Linked DNA regions of Saccharomyces cerevisiae S288C. Changing the gene in region 1 together with any one later gene gives a genetic interaction. Each region holds a gene or a part of one and is shown on either strand. Other genes may lie near its edges.

Evidence for each region. A genetic interaction does not mean that the proteins touch.
Region 2: of GPP1 (region 1) and WSC3, extra expression of one rescues a mutant of the other (dosage rescue), as found in Saccharomyces cerevisiae (one study listed by BioGRID).

Annotation. Positions count from the first base shown.
Region 1 is NC_001141.2:253,371-256,396, forward strand, and holds GPP1 (glycerol-1-phosphatase GPP1), read left to right. Parts: upstream 1-1,744; coding exon 1,745-2,497; downstream 2,498-3,026. Other genes in the region: YIL055C (uncharacterized protein), read right to left, coding at 1-555; YIL054W (uncharacterized protein), read left to right, coding at 1,173-1,490; 60S ribosomal protein eL34 RPL34B, read right to left, coding at 2,856-3,026. UniProt on the Saccharomyces cerevisiae protein: Major isoform of glycerol-1-phosphate phosphohydrolase involved in glycerol biosynthesis. Plays a role in osmoadaptation and required for adaptation to anaerobic conditions.
Region 2 is NC_001147.6:113,845-117,607, reverse strand, and holds WSC3 (Wsc3p), read left to right. Parts: upstream 1-1,799; coding exon 1,800-3,470; downstream 3,471-3,763. Other genes in the region: NDJ1 (Ndj1p), read left to right, coding at 154-1,212.

The sequences.
Region 1 (3,026 bases):
TGGGGTAGAAGCGGATGGTGGCTGCGGTGTCACAGATGAAACATGGCTTGCATATCGAGGAGAAATAGATCTTTTAGTTTCATCGGGAGCACTCCGGACGTCATTGTTGCTATCACTGATTTCTGGATATCGCAGTGAAGGAGAATCATTAGTGTACGGCAACAGGTAAACGAACAGATCATGATAATCCCATTGGTAGGTGTTCAAAGTAAGTAGTAAGTTTTCCAGGGACTCGTTATCTATCGAGTTCTTCAGAATGACAATGCAACTCTGAAAAGTAATAAAAGGAGGAACCATGGAAGTCATTGGAGGCAGCATTTTCACCTGTAAAATATTGGTATGGTATATGATTCCGCCTATCAAATATTTTACCTGGGCCCAAGTCTTGCCCGGAGGGAGATTATCAATCCTTATGGGAATACCATTTGACTGCGAGTACGTCTTTTTCCTAGGAGCAGCTTTTGTGCTTGCTGTTGAGCTTTCGGTCGCAGAACGGGCAACAAAGGCACTGGCTGAAGCAGCCGACTTGGCACTATAGTGTGGTTCTAGAGTCATTATAAAGCAAGCGTATTGTAAGGAGAGACAGCAAACTCTCGTGTATCAGCCAACTGAACTGGAGGCCAAGACCAATCTAAAAAAAAAAAAAAATGAAAGAAACAAGTGTGGGAGGAAGTCTTGTTAACTTAACAGTTAAGCAAGCGTAAAAACCTTTAGGAAAGCGCACGAAAGAAGGCCAACATTACGACTATGGAATAATACAATGCACACAAACAAAAGGTAACATTTGAAAAATGGAGTAGAGAATATATTCCATTCCCCTAATTTTTTGCGGGTCTTCCAGGGCTGCGAACCCATCGCTCAAAACAAGCGCAGTGTCAATTAAGACATCATTGAACTAAAACGGAAAATTTGCTTGCGCCACACACCCTGGTCAATCGTACCAAGGGATATCACTCTGTACGGGTGGGAGGAAGGCGCGGCAATTAGAATGTGTGGGTGCGGAAGCTCGCCGCTCCCATCAAGAGAGTGGAAGACGTATGGTCTGGGTGCGAAGTACCACCACGTTTCTTTTTCATCTCTTAAGTGGGATTCTTACGAAACACGTCACAGGGTCAAAAGAAAGAGAACAAAAGCAATATTGTAATTGTCTCAGTCCACGGCAATGACATGGCATGGCCCCGAAGGCTTTTTTTGTCTGTCTTCCTTGGGTCTTACCCCGCCACGCGTTAATAGTGAGACAAGCAGGAAATCCGTATCATTTTCTCGCATACACGAACCCGCGTGCGCCTGGTAAATTGCAGGATTCTCATTGTCCGGTTTTCTTTATGGGAATAATCATCATCACCATTATCACTGTTACTCTTGCGATCATCATCATTAACATAATTTTTTTAACGCTGTTTGATGATGGTATGTGCTTTTATTGTTCCTTACTCACCTTTTCCTTTGTGTCTTTTAATTTTGACCATTTTGACCATTTTGACCTTTGATGATGTGTGAGTTCCTCTTTTCTTTTTTTCTTTTCTTTTTTCCTTTTTTTTTCTTTTCTTACTCTGTTAATCACTTTCTTTCCTTTTTGTTCATATTGTCGTCTTGTTCATTTTCGTTCAATTGATAATGTATATAAATCTTTCGTAAGTATCTCTTGATTGCCATTTTTTTCTTTCCAAGTTTCCTTGTTATGAAACGTTTCAATGTTTTAAAATATATCAGAACAACAAAAGCAAATATACAAACCATCGCAATGCCTTTGACCACAAAACCTTTATCTTTGAAAATCAACGCCGCTCTATTCGATGTTGACGGTACCATCATCATCTCTCAACCAGCCATTGCTGCTTTCTGGAGAGATTTCGGTAAAGACAAGCCTTACTTCGATGCCGAACACGTTATTCACATCTCTCACGGTTGGAGAACTTACGATGCCATTGCCAAGTTCGCTCCAGACTTTGCTGATGAAGAATACGTTAACAAGCTAGAAGGTGAAATCCCAGAAAAGTACGGTGAACACTCCATCGAAGTTCCAGGTGCTGTCAAGTTGTGTAATGCTTTGAACGCCTTGCCAAAGGAAAAATGGGCTGTCGCCACCTCTGGTACCCGTGACATGGCCAAGAAATGGTTCGACATTTTGAAGATCAAGAGACCAGAATACTTCATCACCGCCAATGATGTCAAGCAAGGTAAGCCTCACCCAGAACCATACTTAAAGGGTAGAAACGGTTTGGGTTTCCCAATTAATGAACAAGACCCATCCAAATCTAAGGTTGTTGTCTTTGAAGACGCACCAGCTGGTATTGCTGCTGGTAAGGCTGCTGGCTGTAAAATCGTTGGTATTGCTACCACTTTCGATTTGGACTTCTTGAAGGAAAAGGGTTGTGACATCATTGTCAAGAACCACGAATCTATCAGAGTCGGTGAATACAACGCTGAAACCGATGAAGTCGAATTGATCTTTGATGACTACTTATACGCTAAGGATGACTTGTTGAAATGGTAATTTTCTTTTATTTTTTTGATAAAACTACTACGCTAAAAATAAAATAAAAATGTATGATTTCCCTCCATTTCCGACCAATTGTATAATTTTATATCTGCATGACTTAATAATATAATATAATACTTATAAAATACGAATAGAAAAATTTAAACCGATGTAATGCATCCTTTTCTTTGTCGTCTTCGGATGATCTGCCGTGACAGGTGGTTCGCGCAAATCAAGCTGGTTTAGAGAATTTAACACAGAAATAAAAAAGGAAGATTCAATCTTCGTTTTTGTTTTATATCTTACTATAAAAGTGTTTTTTTTTAGTACGACGAGAAGTTAGAGTAATTATAAAAGGAATGCTTATTTAAATTTATTTCTTAGACTTCTTTTCAGACTTCTTAGCAGCCTCAGTTTGTTCCTTAACGACCTTCTTAACAATCTTTTGTTCTTCAATCAAGAAAGCTCTGACGATTCTTTCCTTGACACAGTTGGCACATCTGGAACCACCGTAAGCTCTGGAAACAGTCTTGTGGGTCTTGGA
Region 2 (3,763 bases), on another chromosome or scaffold:
TAATAGTTACAAATGGAAGATATATATCCGTTTCGTACTCAGTGACGTACCGGGCGTAGAAGTTGGGCGGCTATTTTGACAGATATATCAAAAATATTGTCATGAACTATACCATATACAACTTAGGATAAAAATACAGGTAGAAAAACTATAATGAGTAAGGATAATAGGTTAGCAAGTATTTTGCTGCAGCCTGTAGCATCATCCTCTGGAAATTGTACTGAATTCCATGACTCAAAGTTGCATACTCTGCAAGAGGAACTTAATTTCTTGCCACTAGAAGGAGTTGCGTCGAATGTTTGCCCGCCGATGTTTAGAGGTCATAAGAACTACGTGTTTGTGTTATATTGTTTGAATCAAGTCGATCTCGTTACGAATTTGCAGGATTCTACAAAACGTTACTACCCACTGCAAATATTTAAAGATTGTCAATTGAGTTCTTTGGTTCAGAAGGATTTTTCACACTATTTCCAACTCAGCAGGCAAAAGGAAGGGGAAGATCGGAACGATAGTGATACCACCTTGGTTAATGTCGTCAATTCTGGAGTATCCCGCCATAGAAGTCAATTACTAAAGATGTGTATTATACCTAGAATTTGTTCCTTTGACAAATCCAACTCCAAAACCTACAAGCTAATTCAGGAATATGTTAATCGCTTTGAAACCGTTTTAACAAAATTTGGCCCAGAAAAAGATTTCACCAAAGTTTACGCTAACTGGTCAAAACTCATTGAGTCGTTTAATGAGCTTATTTTACATGACCTGTTGGTGAAATGGCAACAATGGTCTGAATTAACTCAGCCAAATGCCACGGTCCATCAGAACATTCCGAATGTTCTCAGGGAACTCGTAATAAAATTAACACAAAGGTACTTTACATTCCAACCTTCATACAGTTGTTCGATTGATGAATTCACAACAATTTTACTTAATAAAAATGCTTTGAGTCTCTTGGACGTTTTCAGAAAACCCAGAAAATATAAACTGAATTTTGGTTTATGGCTAGATTGTCAAAACGGTATTTTAATTTTTACAAATGGTATTGTGCAGATGGCAGATGAAATTACAAGTGAGAGGGTGAAATCCTTTGTCAGGCCAGCACATCTCTTGGTATTGGAAGACCATTCAAATGATGAAGCAGTCAAGAAACTAATGTTTTTCACTTTTTCAGCGATATTACAATGCTTTACAGATGAGATTCTGAATTGTTAAAACGGGCTATCCATATTACATCTGAACCAAAAAAAACTTTTCTTTGCTGTTTACTTTAAATCTTGCTTAATGTGAAGATTTTTTTCTGTTTGCCCTTTCACTAGGAGATTTTTAACCTAATTTTACCAGCCGATTCGTTAGTAGGAATGCATTTTTCCAAAATCAGGAATTTTTACGTCATCCCGCTCTCCTTTGAGATCCGGGCAAACTTCTTATTTTAGCCACTCGAGAATTTTTTTCTTTATTATAAAAAAAGTAATTATGCCTCCGCACTAATCTTAAAAAGCTTTTTAACGTAAGTGGTATACTGCAGACCAGGACCATTGTTTTACTTCATTGCCTGAAATAGTATCTAGGTTAGATATTGATTTTTCTTACACTTCAATAAAACAATTGCATTCGTTATACATTTTTTTCTTTCCAAACATTTGCTATAAAAAATTTTTTGATCCCTCGCCATACTAATTTTCTATTGTTCCTCGAAATTAGTGATAATCCTCGAGAAATATTTGGTGAGCTATTTTCTTTGTGCATTATATGAAATTCATGTCCGTATAGTTTGTTTTTTTAGCAGAAGACAATATAAAATGGAAAGAGTATGGTTTGCAAAATTAACAAATAAAGGAACTATTAAAATCGGGTATATCTCATTTATACTTCTAAGTTTGCTATGTCAATCTCTGATTGGGCTGGTTAATGCTGATTTTAATTATGAAGGCTGTTACAGTGCCGCGGATATCCAGTCTGCTGGACTGTCTCTGAAAAACTCATACATATATCAATCAGTGTCATACTGTCAAAACCAGTGCCCTGAGTCAGCAGTAGTAGCATTATTTAACGGGTCAGATTGTTACTGCGGTAATTCGGTAAGTTTTCTGACTTCTTTGACGAAATCAACAGATTCAAACTGTGGAACTAAATGCTCTGGCTGGCCTTACCAAATGTGTGGAGGGTCATCGTACATGAACGTGTATGTAAATGCTGAAACTTTTGTTTCATCGGTTGAATCTTCCTCTTCCAAAGAAGGGTCTAGCACTTCCTATATGCCCTCAACAACTTCTTCATTGTCCTCCGCCCAAATTTCTTCAACTACTAGGAGAACGTCAACAGATATGAAAAGTTCTGAAATGATAGCCACGACAGTTTCTACCACTTCAACAACCTCTTCCTCGACTTCCTCTACTACCTCTTCTACCACCTCTTCTACCACCTCTTCTACCACCTCTTCTACTACCTCTTCCTCGACTTCCTCTACTACCTCTTCTACCACCTCTTCTACCACCTCTTCTACCACCTCTTCTACCACCTCTTCTACTACCTCTTCTACTACCTCCTCTACTACCTCCTCTACTACCTCTATCTTTTCTGTTACGTCTAGCTCCTCATCCATTACATTGTCCTCATCTGAGCATACCACAGTCGATAGCCGTACTTCTTCACCCTCTTCCACCTTGGTGCCAGTGTCCTCGAGTAGCAGCACACTATCAACTCCAAAAGTGACCTCAATGACCCCTAGTACGTCATCAACGATACCAATAGTTACCTCAGTGGAACTAGTGACTAGTGTGGTTACAAAAGCGATCGTGAGTACTTCTGATCAACATCAGGAAACAATATTTGTTACGAGGACATCCGTGGTTGAACGATCTTCTGAGGTAGCTACTGCTACTGCTGCCGCCTCAAATAATAGATCTAATTCGACTTCGAAGCAGCGTCTGAGTGGTGGAGCCATTGCCGGTATTGTTATTGGTGTTGTGTTTGGCGTAATTTTTATTATTTTGATTCTATTGTTCCTGATATGGAGGAGACGGAAATCGCACGACCAATTAGACTTGGAGGAAACGAAACATTATCAGCCCTATTCGTTCGGTGATGAGGATGCAAATCCAATAGGACCGCCTCCCTCCTCTGGTACGACAAATTGGATGAGACATTCAAGGGGTAATACAGCGGGTTCTATCGGTACAAGTAATATGTATGGTTTTTCTATGAGTAATGGTGCAAATTATAGTAGTCCTAGTTCAAACACCAGTGGAAGCATCATAAACAACTTGGCTGGCTTACAAGATGCTACGGTTCAGAAACAGAACCTTCCATCGACAGTTTTTGAAGAGGCAAATACTTTGAATAGTGCAAATGAAAGGTTCAGTGCCAATTCTTTACCCGACATGATGATGAGCGGACCATTGCAAGTGGTAAACCCTGATAATCCTGATAATCCTGAATTATCTAGTACCGTATCTCATAATCGAGCCTGAAAAACTCGCATAAACTCTCAACATTAATGGTAATCAACTGGTTCTGCTGGACGGAGCCATTCTAAATCATTAACTTTATAATATCATGTTTTATACCCTAATATTTAAACAATTTACTGCTTTTGGCACTTCAACTGTTAGAAAAAGAACAATAATATTTAGTATTTAGTTTCATTTTTAAATTTTCTGATTCACTTCATTTGCAGCTTCTAATGATGTTTGTGGTACAAAAATATAAACAATTTTAAAATATTAAAAAAAAATGCTTCCAATCGGATTTGAACCGATGATCT